Danio rerio: one gene and its partner. The protein of the gene in region 1 interacts with the protein of each later gene in a pairwise test. Links are inferred from orthologs where the notes say so. Each region holds a gene or a part of one and is shown in the gene's direction. Other genes may lie near its edges.

Region 1 (8,653 bases):
TAATGGAGGATCATGCTGAGTTCAAGCTCGTGATGCAGTTATTTATTTTACCCATCTAGCATATTTGGTGAAGAAGCTTTTGAAATGTTTACAATACTTATTCAGGTTTCCTACAAAACAGATGAGAAATATTTTATATCAAATTCTGTGAAGTTCAAGTAGGCCTAAATAGCCTTGGGTGCACAAAGAGTTTAGAAATTATGAAAAAGGTTTAAAGTTCAGCAAGATAAACTTACAACCCGAAAGATTGAAGTAGTATATGAAATGTTTCAATGTATGAAATCCTTCATCAGTCACCCAGTACTGCCCCATATATATCTGTGTATCTATCTATATATATATAAATAAAAAAAATATAGATATTTTTATTATTAAAAATTTTCATCAGCAATTTCATTAAGAATTTTTCTGCTGCAGTTTTTACCTGTTGCTCCTGTTTACTGTAGGTTCTGTTCAGCAATATATTTGTTATCATAGGCCTTTATCAGTATTTTTAAAGGTTACTAATGGTCCATTTACCTTCAGCAGTTTCCTTTTTTAAATTCTGACTGTAGTTTGGTTTAATAAAGTTTAATTTCATCTTAGTGTTAAGCCATTGCTAAATATTTTGCTAAAATAAATAAGTGTTTTGGTTAAGTCTTAGATGTAATTTCAAATAATTAAAACAAATTAAAACTAAAATTAAAGTGTCCCCTCAACCCTGATATGGTCTTCAACCCCTTCATTGTATTCTCAACCCTGTGAAATTAATATTTTTTGGAAAATAAAATAAGGAAAACAATTAAATATGGAAAACATTCTTGCTGAGTACCAACCACCATGTAAAGGCCTAACACTGTAAATATGTGGTTTGGGTAAGACATCTAAATATAAAAGATTTTTAGAAAAATTAAGAGACCACAGAATTCATAAATTGTATAGTTGTAAGTTAAATCACATATAAATCTAAAACTTATCAAAAATATTATGTTTTAGTCATTACAGTGATTTGAGGGACATATGAGCAATAGGTAAATTTTGGTTTGATAGCAAAAGCTTTGTAAAATACTATTATTAACAACTCAGTTTTGTCCGTAATGGGGTTGAGAATTATAGGTGTCCAAATAAGAATAAAACTGAAAATAATATGAAAGCTGTAATGCCTGAGGGAAATTTTTGAAAGTTTAAATTGTGCCTAATTATGTAGGCTATTTAAAATATAATCAACAGACTTATAAAAATGAGTTTGTTCAAGCTGAAATATTACCAAATGCCAGAAATTACCCATATATATATATATATATATATATATATATATATATATATATATATATATATATATATATATATATATATATATATATATTCATTTTCTTTTCGGCTTAGTTACTTTATTAATCCGGGGTGACCACAGCGAAATAAACCGCCAACTTATCCAGCACGTTTTTATGCAGCGGATGCCCTTCCAGCCGCAACGCATCTCTGGGAAACTATATATATATATAAAACAATGTATATATGTGTGTGTGTGTCTGTGTGTATGTGTGTGCTTATTTATAACAAAAACAGCGATAGGCTACGTCAACGCACGGTACACAATGTATTGATGCCGACGGTGTCATGTAGTTCTACTATAGAAATATTTGAGTGTTTTAGATGTTATTATGTTATATTTTATTGTATAATATTATATGGATATTTTGTTAAGTCATTTCAAGATTTACATGTATGAATATTATCTGACGATCACGCTACCCACAATCTGAAAGTGAAAACAAAAGTGAAAAGGTAGCAAGTTGAGGAGGGGGTGGCTGTTCGCGGATATAACTTAGGACGCAGGTGGTGAGGGAGGTGTCGCGGCTGCCTAGGTAGCCTCTATAGATGAGCCGGCCCTGTACTCACCCAAAACGTTTCATTCATGCTTCAAAGTTATTGGGTCAGTAATTTGGTCATATGGGCTCAAAAACTTTTTTGGTCAAAATGTAGTTGTTTTTTACCATGACAGTCGACGGTCAGATACACATATGGCTACATTTTGTCTTTAAAACAAATGCTACGGGGTGGTGTGACAACGTTCTTGCTAAGCAGCTGATCGCATACAGCCTTTTCTGCTGTTACCAGTTTGCCCAGTAGCTTGACGCATTCGTCGATGGACTTGAGATGCAGAGAGGAGTTGACCATGATGATGGAGTTTGAATCCAGCAAAGAATGGTTCCTGAAGACAAAAACAGAAGCCAAAAAAATTAAATAAACATGTAAAGAATGTGGAAAAATCTGAAAATGCAGTAAAAATTTGACGAGGGCTTTTTTTTCTGGATTGCTTTTTAAAACACTGCAAGTTGGGTTTAGGGAAGGTGTTGGGCTGGTCAGTTGCTGCTTTTGAAAACACTATTGGTTGAGTATAGGGAAGGTGGGTCAGTTGATCGGTCAGTCAGTCAGTCAGTCAGTCACTCTTTAATATTTTGTGATCAACAAAGACACAAGAAACTAGAATTGTTTGCTTGATAAATGTATGCACAGTATGTTTGTCTGTCATTGTGACTCAAATTTTATGATGAATTGCAGCAGAAAAATATTTTATTCTAAAGAGTTCACAAAAACGTGACACGGTGGCGCAGTAGGTAATGCTGTCACCTCACAGCAAGAAGGCTGCTGGTTCGAGCCTCGGCTGGGTCAGTTGGTGTTTCAGTGTGGAGTTTGCATGTTCTCCCTGCGTTCACGTGGGTTATCTCAGGGCACTCTGGTTTCCCCAACAGTCCAAAGACATGCTGTATAGGTGAATTGGGTAGGCTAAAATGTCCGTAGTGTATGAGTGTGAATGGATGTTTTCCAGAGATGGGTTGCGGCTGGAAGGGCATCCGCTGCGTGAAACACATGCTGGATAAGTTGGGAGTTCATGCCACTGTGGTGACCCCAAATTAATAAAGGGACTAAAAGGAAAGTCAAAAAGAAAATGAGCGAATGAATGAAATCACAAACTTTCCTGCCACTACACACAGACACAGGGTTAGCTTTTGTGAATTGTGGGAACATTTGATATTATTCTATTGTTTTCCATTGGTCAAGTAACTATTATTGTTTACACTATACAAGCTGTATTTTCTATTGCCCCAACCCTATTCTGAATTGAAAAAATTGACATTAGCAATGTCCTCATAATTCACAGTCTCTTTGTAATACCCGTGTCATACCCATGTCATTATACACGTTTGTCCGAATATCTCTCTCTCTCTCTCTCCTTTCTTTCTCTTTCTCTCTCTCTCTCACACACACACACACACACAAACACGCGCACAAACACACACACACACACACACACGCAGTTTCCTTACTCTCCAAGGTTATTTTAGCAAACGAAAACGTAAACTTAGACTAAAACAAAAAACATTGGTCAAAAAGCATTTTGATTAACTGAAATAAAACTAAGAAATCATAGTTGGCAAACAAAAACAATTCATCCATTAATTTTCCTTCAGCTCAGCCTATTCCCTTTATTTATCAGGGGAACCGCCAACTATTCCAGCATATGTTTAACACAGCGGAAGTCCTTCCAGTTGCAACCCATCACAGGGAAACACCCATGCACACTCACATTTACACGGCCAATTTAGTTTATTCAACTCACCTATATGTGTGTGACTGTGAACTGTGGGGGAAACCGGAGCACCCGGAACCCACGCCACTGCACGCCCAGTTCCATTACTCCATTCCAGTCGGTGGCGGCAAAGTTCAGTTGCCTACAGCCATTAACAACCAAAGAAGAAAAAGAAAAAGAAGAAGCGGGCAATCAGAATATTTACAACCCCAATTATTGAAGGTATATTGAACGCGCGTTTCCATGTTTAAATGCCTATTATTTTAGTCTTATACGCGGATATACGTTTGTGTAAACATTCAGGAGGGAATTTGTCAGGTGTAAGTGGAGAGTTTTTTTTAAATGTATTTGTGTAAATGCTGGAGTTGTGAAGGATTTACAGTGAAACAGAGTGAAGATGAGCATCACTCCAGCAGATCTGAGTCCTGCTTCATCCTCAGACCACAGGGAGAAACTGCAGGAGCTGCTGACCGCTGTCCGAGACCTGCACGACACCGCACTGCAAGGTAAATAACCTGAGTGGAGTATAAATAATTACATAACAACTAGTTACTTAGTTAATTACATTACTTGTATGCTAAAAATGTAATTTAAGCAATTACTTTGAAATATAGGTAATTATTGTTAGCCTACTTAATTGAGGTAAAGTTGGTTTTATATTCTCTCAATATAGACAATCTCTCTATATTGTTTACCATGGTATTTGACTATTCGGTCTGAAACCACTTGTAAATATCACTTAAAGACAATATACACAATTACCACAACATTGTTTATGAACAAGATAGTCAAATGGCTTTGTCTTCTTTATGACAGTTCACTCTTTACATTACATCCAATGCAATAAAGTCAGATTTTGGTGACATTTGCTGAAAATGCTTTGGACAGAACTATACACTATTTGCACAGCCATTTGAAAACTACAGTAAAGTTAGACATCTCTGCATTTATTGAGGTATCTGAGTACAAGACACTGAATATGTGTGTTTTACATTTTTACTGCATAATCTTGCAATTTTAATTTATTCACATCGTTGCGCTGAAGAATAAATACACACAAATTTACAACAAACCTAATCTCCCTTTGGGTAGAGCTGTGCACACCTGTAAACAATATTGCAGAACATATTGGAACTGAACCTACAACATAGAGGTCTTTAAATAATTCATCAAATCATTCAATTTACAAGAAATTTTCAGAAAAAAAAAAGATTTTATAAAATTTGCTTGAGAGATTTGGACAGCTAGTTTAACATTTTTGTATGTAAAGAATAAAAGAGTAATAAGTAATAAAAGAGGACTATTAGTTTTATATGGAGTGACTATTCAGCATTCACAAGTTCAGTTAATTTGAACTGACATGACATAAACAAATGATAATGTTATAAACAGCAGAGAGTTGTATAAAAGCAATTGATACACGTCAGAAAGCATTTGCAATTTGTTAGACGGAATAAGAAACTGCTGCTATGATGTGCACAAATGACAAAATGTTTTGAGAAATGCAGTTACTGTTGATCGACTGAGAAAAACTGTATTGTGGATTCTGTTTTTCTGATTTGATAACTTTTATAATAAAAATAGATTGTCAAATAACTTATTAAAATATTTTTCTTTTCTCTGACAACATACATGTTTCTCATTTTCAGAATTACAAGCAAAAATAGCTAAACTGAAGAAAGAGCGCTGTCTGTAAGTCCACGTCGTATACAGTGTACATGCAAATATATTTAAAAATGTATATAAATCAGTTTGAGAGTCATTAAAGCATGAATAAATATTTGTGATGATCATTAAACATGCTTAAGCTATTTTGAAAAACCTTTTTTAATCTGTAATCTGTAATGCCACATATCCTATTTGACTGTATTATTATTATTATTAATAATAATAATATTGTGTCTCTTTTCTCAGAGATGCTCAGAAATTGAGTGAATTTCACAGCAAGAATCAACATTTACGAGAGCAACAGAAGATCCAGCAGGAGAAGATCAGACAGCTGGAGGACAGGTGCTCACAAGCAAACCTATTGATCATGTTTTTTATGCATTTATCCTGAATTCGGAGCTCAGTTTTAGTCACTGTGTTATTTTTTTAGGTTGCGTTCTGGACCATGCGATCGCTGCACTGTGAAAGAGAAGCAGATTAAAAAGACAAACACTGAGCTTGAAGATAATAATCAGAGAAATCTGTCTGTCATCTCTGAGCTTGGTGAGTATTTTTGGTGACTATTTCTTTTTCAGTGGTGTTATTAAAGCATATTTTATTGGACTGTGCTGTCTTTAATGTAAATAGATGATGGTTTAGTTTCAGAGGTTTGAACTTATTTACTGTGTCCAGCTTAGATAAATGCACTCTAACAGATTGATCGCTGAAAAATATTCATCTTGCTTTTAAAATAATACTTTCAGCGAGATCTTAAACAGTAAGATATTTGATCAAATATCATTTATTGGTTTATTGTGAGATAAGTCAATACAAAGGGAGAACTGAAACCATTCGAACAACATAATTTGCAATTTATAGTTCAAAATGAACTAGACTCCAATGAATGTTACAAAAAATCTGAAATAAATTGCAATAAATAAAAAAATGAAGGAGGCCATATAAAATAAATGTTTTTTCGTTTTTGTTTGGCTAGTTGTAATTATTTTTAAGAGTGGAAATTATTAAAAAAAACATAACTAGCTATTATGATGCTGCAAGCATTAATACACCCCTATATATATGTTAATTAGAAAATTTTTAATAAATTATAATTAACAAGAAAAATTAAAGAAGCCATACAAAACTTTATATATATAAGGAAATTTTCACAGTATGTCTGATAATATTTTTTCCTCTAGAGAAAGTCTTATTTGTTTTATTTCGACTACAATAAAAGCAGTTTTTAATTTTTAAAAAAGCATTTTATGGTCAATTTTATTAGCCCCTTTAAGCTGTATTTCTTTTTGATTGTATAAACCATCGTTATACAATTACTTGCTTTATTACCCTAACCTGCCTAGTTAACCTAATTAACCAAGTTAAGCCTTTAAATGTCACTCTAAGCTGTATAGAAGTGTCTTGAAAAATATCTAGTAAATTATTATTTACTGTCATCATGGCAAAGATACAAGAAATCTGTTATTAGAAATAAGTTATTAAAACTATTCTGTTTAGAAATGTGTTGAAAAAAATCTTCTCTCTGTTAAACAAAAATTGGGGAAAAAATAAACAGTCGAGGTCAAAATTTATAAATAAAATCATAAATAATTCATAAGAAATGTGTATGTGTATGTAAGTCAGAATTATTAGCCCCCCTGAATTATTAGCGCCCCTGTTTATTTTTTTCCCCTATTTCTGTTTAATGGAGGGAAGATTGTTTCAGCACATTTCTAAGCATAATAGTTTTAAAAAACCTATTTCTAATAACTGATTTATTTTATTTTTGCCATGATGACAGTAAATATTATTTGACTAGATATTTTTTAAGACACTTTTATACAGCTTAAAGTGACATTTAAAGGCTTAACTAGGTTAATTAGGTTAACTAGGCAGGTTAGGGTAATTAGGCAAGTTATTGTATAACGATGGTTTGTTCTGTAGACTATCGAAAAAAAATAGCTTAAAGAGGCTAATAATTTTGTCCCAAAAATAGTTACATTCAAAAAAAAAAAAAAAAAAAAAAATATATATATATATATATATATATATATATATATATATATATATATATATATAATGTCTTTTGGAAATTGTGCATTTGGAATTTGTAATTTAGATGGAATTTTGTAAGAATTGAGTGTTAAAAAAATGGATATAAATAGTTTTTACTTTAAGTTGTCTGAAACTCATCTGTATCTACTAGGGTTGGATGATACATCGGTGGCCATATCAATATCAGCAAACCTGATTTTAATGTTATCTCGATTGGTCTAATAACAAAATTAGGTTTTTATTTGTGCTGTTTTTATGCTTTATTTTTGCTGGTTTTGCCTTGTTGTAAATGTTACTGTTCTGAAGTTAAAGTTTTAAAATAAAATCAGTTGTTCTCTGTAAGTGTTTGATTTTTGTTTTTGCAATCATGCATAACAATTATGGATATAGATATTATTTGTCTGCTATTTTTGTTAATAATATATTGGCTATCTGTTTCAAATCAAATTTACGTTATCAGTTATCAGGTCAAAAATTCCATACCAGTGCAGCTCTCGTCTCATCCAGCCTATCAGTATCAACCCAAAAATCTTCTTCAATGTGTGTGTTTAGAGGCTGAGAGGAAAACTCTGACAGATGAAAACAGGAGACTGAGTCTTGAACTGGAGCGACTCAGGAGGTCTGGGTGAGTCTCAGAGTTGAAGAAAACATGATGAAATACTGAGCACTGGTGACATTCATCATCATATGACCGTCTGTTTTGAGTGTGTGTTTAGTTCTCCACAGAACACGTCCTCTGAGGCTGAGGAGGGAATGATCCCAGACTCTCCTCTCCGGCCGCTGTCTTTACCCGTTGCCAGCAAGATGAAACGCCGGAAAGAGCAGAACCACGTCCGATACACTGAGACACCGCTATCACTCTCACACCCCGGTTAGTCACTCCAGAGAAGTTTAATCAGAATCAGTTTTATTGCCAAGTGTGCTTCACACACACAAGGAATAACACAAGAAGCTTCCAGTGTACATAAAGTGACAACACAAAATAAATATGAGGAAAAAAAGATGATAAACATTAAACGGAGATGCAGTTAGTCCAGAAATCTGGATGTTGAGTTGTATGTACAGATTTGTTATAAATATACAGGTTATAACATAAGGTGCTGTGTGCAAATGCGAATGTAGAAATTATTGCATTGTATATTGATATAAGGGGCTGTGTACAAGTGCGTATGAGAAAGTATTGCACATATTTATTGCACAGTTGGGTTATATTTAACTGTTCATGCAGTAGATGGCCTGAGGAAAGAAACTTTTCCTGTGTCTGGCTGTTTTTGTTCTTGGTGCTCTGAAGTGCCGACCAGACGGTAACTGTTCAAACAGGAAGTGTGCTGGGTGCGAGGCGTCCAGAGTGATTTTGCGAGCCCTTTTACTCACTCTGGA
Region 2 (8,092 bases), on another chromosome or scaffold:
GCTCATATGGTTCTAGCATTCTTTTTACTGAATTATATTCACATATCAAACAGTTGTTGAATGAATCGTGTTGTTTCCATGGCGCAGAAGTGAAAACAATACATTTATGATCACTAAGCAGCCCCAGATAGCACAGATAGCTGTCATCTCTTACCTTATCCTGTGCTCTTCAGGGTCATTCTCCTCTGTTTTTGAGGTGATGTACATGCATCTGATGTGGTCCAAACACAGCGAATTATGTTTGATCAAACAAAAGAATAGTGAAATATGAAAATAATGATCAATCCCTGTGGCTTGTACAGCACCTCTCATCAGTTGGAATAAAATAACTTTTGCATAGATTATGGTGGAGACGTTTTTCTTTTTCCCTATGATTACAGACATGTGCAGGAACCACCAAAATTAATTACAGCACGCTAGACCACACAGAACCTAAAAGGTACAATTTCAAATTTGAGTTTATTAAAAAAAATACAAAAAGCACCTTTTTTTTTTGTTTATTATAACACAGACAACATATACAGATATTTTAAAAACTTTCAATAGTGTTTTATGAAAATTCAAAGTTTTTATTTTTAAATGATACCAAATTTTTGCATTTACACCTCTGCATGTGGATTTGGAAAGCTTTTAAATTTGGGTAGGCAAAATCCAGGCGGAAATCCCAAAATAACAGCAGAGTTTAACTGGTTAAAAGTCCAATGATTAAAAGTCCATAATAAAACATCCATAATAAAAAAGTGCCCACTAAATAAAGGCCTTCTGTAACAAACCAATGCATTTATAAAGTAAAATATCTGTCCTACAAATCAACTCAATTTGAGGTTTATTGTTATTCTGTTACATGTTTGAACATACAGTGGGATGAAGTTGTGTATCGCAGGACCACGGTGAATAAGCATAATCATAAATATAGACATAACACTGGAAGTAAGAGCAATATTAAGTCTCTACGTAACTAACACACCGGAGCGGTACTCTAACTGTACATATATTATGAATACTTAGACTATACACACAACCTAAGACTGACTATACAAGTACTTTTGCGTAAGACGGAATACTGTTGTGCAAGATACTGTTCATACGGGGTATTTTAATGTTGAGAAAATCAAGTAGTGAAACTTGATTGTGTGGTACATTCACAAGTAAACATTGTTTTCCTTATTAAGACCTTCTAAGATTAAGTAAAGTGTAATATGCATATAGAGAGAAGAGTGTTTCCACAAGTGGTTTGTCAAGCACACTTTAGAAATGCACAATGTTTTTCAAGAGGTATGGAGGGATTGTAAGAAAGTGAATGAAAGTGAGTCATGTCTTTGCAGCAGATGGCATATAACATACACGTAACACTATGAATCCAGCAAAAAAAATTCTGTCAGGTAAAATTAAATTCAGCTAAATACTCTTAAATGTCTTCTGTCTTAAAAAAAACATAAAAATATGGAAAAGAAATAGTGATTTGAAACTGATCTTGTAGTAATTAGATTTTTGCTATAACTGTATTTGAATCAAGACTTTTATGGGTGAATTTTCATTTAACAAATGCAGTCATACACCCTAACAATTTTTACAATTTAGTCTTATTTATTCTATACTTTTATTGCTAGTATATGAATACTATTTGTAGATATATGTCTAATTTTGACTGCTTTTGCTAAAAATCTCTGACTTATAGTTCCAGCTGATCTCATGACATGAATTCTGCTTTATTTCAGGTAATTTCCACATGATCGGAGATGATTTGGTCAACTCCTATCACCTCCTCCTCTGCTGTCTGGACCTGGTGTTTTGCAACGCTCTCATGTGCTCCAACAGGAAAGATCTCATCAATCAGAATTTCAGAGGTAAAGGTCACCTTTTATTCATCTCAGAAAATATGTTTGCTTGACTGATTGAGAAGACAGACAAAATTACAAGTGAATCCATTGATTGCATTAAATATATTTGAGTGTTTTAAAGCATGCCTGTGTTGTTTTGATTTACACTCTTCAGCGATTCTGAATTTAGTGTCTTTCCCTCACCGTAATATTGCATTGTGTTTGCTTTGTGTCTGAAAAAACAGGTAAACACTTCACTGAACATCTGTTTTTCACCTTTCTGTAGGCCTGCCGAAAGACACAGAAAACCTGAAAGAGATGCCCTGTGTCATTGACAAGTTGTGTGAACTGCATGATGGGTTGGTGGTGGAGGCCAAAGGCATAAAGGAGCACTACTTCAAGCCCTACATAAAGACCCTGTTTGAGAAAAGAGTGAGGAATATATACGCACTTTGACACCCAAAACAAAAACAGCACAATTCCATATATGACTGCATGCTTTGTAGAAAAAAAATTTAATTACAGTTTTTCTTTTCAAAATGACGATTTGCGATTACTTCTGTTTCATAAAAGAACTACAGTTTAATGTGGTGGTTTTAGCAGAGCCACAGAAATACTAAACATAATTAAAAAAAAAACTACAGTATCCTAAATTAAATAAATTAAATATAAAATTTTAAACTTTAAAGAATTTAAACAATGTAAACAATTGTACATCATTAAAACACTGGTGATAACTAGGGCCAGACAGAATTTGTTGATGTTTTTTGGCTATTTCTGCTGAGAACTTTGTAAAAAAATTTGTGGATTTATGCAGAATTATTTTGAGAGTATCATAACTAAAAACATTAAAAAAAACATAAAAAAAATAATATATATATTTTTTTTTTCATTTTCAAAGTCCTTTTATTCCTTTTATACAGAGGAATGAACTGCCAACTTATCCGGCATATGTTTTACGCAGCGGATGCCCTTCCAACTGCAACCCATTACTGGGAAACATCCATACACACATACTCTGCGGACAATTTTTATCCCAATTTACCTATAGCGCATGTCTTTGGACTGTGGTGGAAACCGGAGCACCCGGAGGAAACCTACGCGATCAATGGGAGAACATGCAAACTCCACACAGAAACGCCAGCTGACCTAGCTGAGACTCAGCAACCTTCTTTCTGTGAGGTGATCATGCTACCCATAGCGCCATCGTGCAGCCCATATATATATATATATATATATATATATATATATATATATATTTTTTTTTTTTTAATATAATTAATTGAATTATAAATGCGCGGTAAGAGTCGTGCACGTAATATATTCAGATATCATAGCTGATCTGTGATAAATGCCGTTGTGGAAAGTCACTCTACAGACACACTCGTGTCAGGGTTAACAAGTATCCCTTTAATAGCGATAGAGGAAAGGAAATTTATGTACTGTCATCATTGCAAAGATAAAATAAATCAGTTATTGGAAATGAGTTAAAACTTTTTTGTTTTAAAATGTTTTGAAAAAAAATCTCTCCAAAATTTGGTGAAAAATAAATGGGGACTAAAATTTCAGGGGGGCTAATAATTCTAATTTCAGCTCTCTCTCTCTCTATATATATATATATATATATATATATATATATATATATATATATATGTATATGTATATACCTTTTAACTTTTATTTAATGTTTACAATGCAAATCCAATATGATCCACTTATTTGTTAAACAGAAAGTCGCTCATATAGTATACTAAATACACAAAATATAACTTTACAAACTGTTTTGTAACTAAATTATATGAACATTTTCATGTTAGTCAATAATATTAATGAAATGAATGTTTATTTAGTTTTTAAACTTAATTTACTTACATTTACACTATGAATTGACTGAATGATGGGCTAAAAAATCTGCGGAAATCTGCAGATTTCTGCATGTGCAGATTTCGTGTGGACCTAGCGATAACCTACATTACTGTGGACAACCTATATAACAACGACAGCAAATGTTTTTGCCTTTTAAACTGCAAAGAACATGAATTCTAAACCAAAGGGTCAACAAGAAAAGCTGCACTTCTAGATTATGTTACTTTTTTACATTGTTCAGGGTAATGTGCTTACCAACTGTCAGAACTGTCAAAAATTTTATGTTTCTTATTTATTAGTGCATTGAAATAAACACTGCTTTTGGGATTTGAAATTTTTATTTTTTTATATAGTGATTTCGTTTTAGAAATGTCTAATTGTGCAGGCCTAATTCTATATTTATAGCTTTTGTTTTACCTCCTTATATTCCCAGATGTTAAAAGGTGATGTTGAAACTCTGACTGAATTACTGGACACTCCAAATTTCCAAGATAACAAGTACGCACATTCAATTTCTGAACACATTGCTTTTCCATGCAAAACGTTGTATGCAATTAAATGCTTTTGAAAACATTTTTGTCTTTTCAGTAAAGCCATAAATCGTGATTATGAGGAGTTTGTTTTGACTGTGGGGGATTTTGATGAGCGAGTGTTTTTGGGGGCTGATGCAGACGAGGAGATCGGCACACCGCGCAAATCCACCGCTGAACCTCCTTCAGGTCATCTCTCTGCCCGCATGCAGGTGGAGAACAACCTTCAGCAGCACTTTGAGAAGGTATGAAGAAAAGTAGTTAGATTAACAGTCACTGTAATTACAGTATTTATTAGGGGTGTGATGAGATGCTTACTCCAGGAGACAAGATTGGTTTCAAGAGAACAAAACAAGATTTTGGCAGTATTTTAAAGAAATCTTGAATGATAAAATATATGAATGGAAAATAGTCTTTTATTCAACTGAAAAAAAATCACAAAATGCAAAACCATATAGGTGCTTTTTTAAATCAACTTGTAATGAATGTTATTTTAATGACTTCTGTGCAGTAAAGGACATGCCAACACTGCAAAATATGTTGCTAATATTTGAATGGAGAGTAGTCTTTTTATACATGACTATTTAGGTGCTTTTTAAAGGTGCTGTATGTAAGTTTTTGACTTTTCTAAAGCATAAAAATACCATAATATGTTTGCAGGTATTTAAGAAACATGCTAAGTGAACATAATTGTTTATCTGAAAAACAATGAATTCAGATATTCTACTTTAAAATTGTGAGTTACGTGCAGGATTGTCTGTCTTTGTTTTGTTCATTTATCCCGCCCAATGCCAGTTTAGCCAAATATATTTCAGCACCCTGGGTTGCTTTAGCGCAAAACCATGTTTTTCATTCATTTATTTATTCATTCAATCTGGAAGCCTCAATACCCATGACAAGCTCAGAACTACTGGATACAATTATAAATTAAGTACTGATAGGAGAGAGTTGTTTTAAAGTGACTTGATACCGCATGAATGAAAAGATAACTTCTTTTCCCGGACAGTATAAAGCTGTGTTCGCTGATGATGCGACAAGCCTCTAGGAGTTCCCCGTTTGTGTGTGCGCACAGAGATGTGTGTGTCTGGTCCTTTAGTGACTCAGTAGATGGAGGGAATTAATGTTAAAGTTCATTTAAAGTTAGAGAATTTAAAGTTAGAGTTAAACAGCTGTGTATGCATGGCTTATTCTGTTGCAAAATGCAGCTAAAAGTCCTACACGATGGTAATAGTTTAATCAAGGTGTTGACATGTCTGTACTGCACAGCAGTAATGTGACTGAAATAGGAATACTTTACGGCTTAACATGTCAGCTGTAGCCTCTGCTCAGACCGCAACCTTCGATGGAAAAAAAAAAAAAAGGTTACGTCACACCCGCCCAAGCAAATGAGTGACACGCAACATCGAGGCAGCCCTGGTTGCCAGGTGTGTGCAAAGCACTTGAATTGCGGTTCATATCCAAACCTGCCTCCAATCTTCAATGCTAATTTCACCCTCACGCTCCATCATAACATAACTCACGAGACAACTTAACACCTCTACGAGAAATCTTAACGGGATTTAATCTTGTGATACCACGTGATATGGGACCTCATTACACCCCTACTATATATATATATATATATATATATATATATATTTGCATCTTCTTCCTGTTTGTGTGCAGACGCGTTCCCTTGCTCCCTCTACTCCTCTAACGGGTCGACGGTATTTAAAGGAGAAGGAAGTGCTGGTCACGCCTGTTTCTTCAGCCACCCAAAGTGTGAGTCGACTGCAAAGCATGGTGTCTGGTCTCCGAAACGCACCGAGCGACGCTCTGCTTCAGATATTTATGTAAGTGTTTGCTAAAACCAAAACATGCACTTATAGTTTTAGATTTGGTTTTCTTGCATTCCTTTTTTTAAACTTGTTTTTGTGTCAGATGTGGACACAAATGTGTATTATGACACAGGAGACTGTGAATTATGAGGACATTGCTGATGTTTACATTTTTCAAAAGGTTTAGAAATCATACAGAATGAGCTTTTTCAGAAAGTAAAACTGCACATTTTTTTTGTAAAGCGTGGGGTTGGGGAAGTGCCATCTCAAATACAGTTTGTACAGTATAAAAACAATAGAAACCTATGGAATATCCCCACAATTCACAATAATAAACCTTTACGTCTATTTAACCATTCTTCATTTTCTGTTCAAATAGTTCCTGTTCTCGAAACCCCACTGAATCCATTCTGAATCGGGTGAAAACCTTGGGGGAAAAGTTCAAACAGGCCTACACTAATCCCACAGATGACCTGCCGGGAGCACATATGGGTCAGATTTACTGCCGTCTAAAATGATTGGTCATTATGAAAGCATTATGTGTGATCATGTAAATAAGTGCAGGCTCTTGTGTGTAGACTTTGCAGAGAAACGTCTGAAGCTGGCCGAGATCTTGTACTTTAAGATCCTGGAGAATGTAATGACTCAAGAGATGAAGAGATTACAAGGCAAAGACTGGGCAGTAAGTCACATTATTAATATTATATTTGATATATGCTTGATGCATGTGATAAATGTGTTTGTAAATGTAGCTTTTCCACTTCTGCTTTTTTTTTTTTTTTCTTTATTCAAAGAGGAATCGGTTATATGGAACAACATGCCTTGCAGTAATGTCTTATTTTAAAGCTCTCGCTGTCTGCTTTGGTGCAAGATTGTAAGCTCTTCCTCTCTTACGTCTTTTTCTCAATCAGGTCCTGTTGGAGCAGGAGGTGCTCCATTGCTCTCTTTTGGCCTGCTGTCTGGAGGTGGTGCTGTTCTCATACAGCTCGCAAAGAACTTTCCCCTGGATACTGGAAATCTTTCAGATCCCACCTTTCTACTTTTACAAGGTACAGAACATTGTCAGTATGGAGGATTAAACCTGCAAAAACAATACATAAATCCACAAATTCCTGTATGCGTAAATATATAAAGAATTAATAGTGCGGGCAGATAAATAATTAAATTGCACTTTTGTTAGGGGAATAAGAAAATGCTAAACTGAGTTGATCCTCCCTCCTGCAAATGTGTATTCCTTTTAGAACGTAGTTCCACGTTTACTTTTCCTGAGCTCAACATGCTAATGAGAGAGTGTATTATCAATCTTCAGAAGGTGGGCTTTATGCCATTATGATTGATTGTTAAAAAAATCTTGTTCACTTTTTTTTTTGTCGCTGATGATGATATATAGACACCGTCTCATTAGCTTGTTGAGCTGGAAAAGTAAGGAACTATGTCCAAAAATGAATACACATTTGAAAGGGGAGAAAACTTTGTTTATTTTTTTTTTCTTAAATGTATCTGCCCACACTATTAATTATTTCTATACTTATCAGAATCAGAATTGGTTTTATTGAAACGTGTGCTTACACACACAAGGAAATTGTTTTGGCTACAGAGGCTTCATGTGTATGCAATGTGACAAGTTTTTTATTTATGCAGGAATTATATATATATATATATATATATATATATATATATATATATATATATATATATATATATATATATATATATATATATATATATAAATATATATAATAGATGTCAATATTTAATGACCGAAGGTCTTTGTCAGTATCGATAAAAAAAAAAATTTGGTAGGTAGTTTCGTATGAAGCGATATAGTTTTATTAAATGCAGCTGCTGAGCGAGCGCCATGCTGTATGTATTTAAATAATGATGGCTGGTTCCTTTACTTAAAAGCTCAAATTTGATTATCATTATTTGTGTTGTTGACAGAGTTTGAGGTTTACTGTATTATTATTATTCACAGCTTAAAGTTTGCTTTGATCGTTCAGCGTTTACACTTTACCATTGCACACACTTTGTAACATTTTATTTATTAAGATTAAGAGTC

What was found. The genes of interacting proteins can lie anywhere in the genome.
Region 2: the proteins of rbbp8 (region 1) and rbl1 interact in a two-hybrid assay, tested with the Homo sapiens proteins (2 studies listed by BioGRID and IntAct). The link is inferred for Danio rerio from reciprocal best matches to the Homo sapiens genes RBBP8 and RBL1.

Annotation. Positions count from the first base shown.
Region 1 is NC_133199.1:39,942,510-39,951,162, forward strand, and holds the start of rbbp8 (DNA endonuclease RBBP8), read left to right. Parts: upstream 1-3,734; 5' UTR 3,735-3,796; exon of another isoform or gene 3,797-3,939; 5' UTR 3,940-3,971; coding exon 3,972-4,080; intron 4,081-5,223; coding exon 5,224-5,266; intron 5,267-5,488; coding exon 5,489-5,584; intron 5,585-5,672; coding exon 5,673-5,785; intron 5,786-7,825; coding exon 7,826-7,898; intron 7,899-7,989; coding exon 7,990-8,144; intron 8,145-8,653. UniProt on the Homo sapiens protein: Endonuclease that cooperates with the MRE11-RAD50-NBN (MRN) complex in DNA-end resection, the first step of double-strand break (DSB) repair through the homologous recombination (HR) pathway.
Region 2 is NC_133181.1:54,210,959-54,219,050, reverse strand, and holds part of rbl1 (retinoblastoma-like protein 1), read left to right. Parts: intron 1-1,718; coding exon 1,719-1,847; intron 1,848-2,106; coding exon 2,107-2,252; intron 2,253-4,119; coding exon 4,120-4,184; intron 4,185-4,274; coding exon 4,275-4,461; intron 4,462-5,881; coding exon 5,882-6,048; intron 6,049-6,412; coding exon 6,413-6,525; intron 6,526-6,611; coding exon 6,612-6,715; intron 6,716-6,944; coding exon 6,945-7,082; intron 7,083-8,092. UniProt on the Homo sapiens protein: Key regulator of entry into cell division. Directly involved in heterochromatin formation by maintaining overall chromatin structure and, in particular, that of constitutive heterochromatin by stabilizing histone methylation.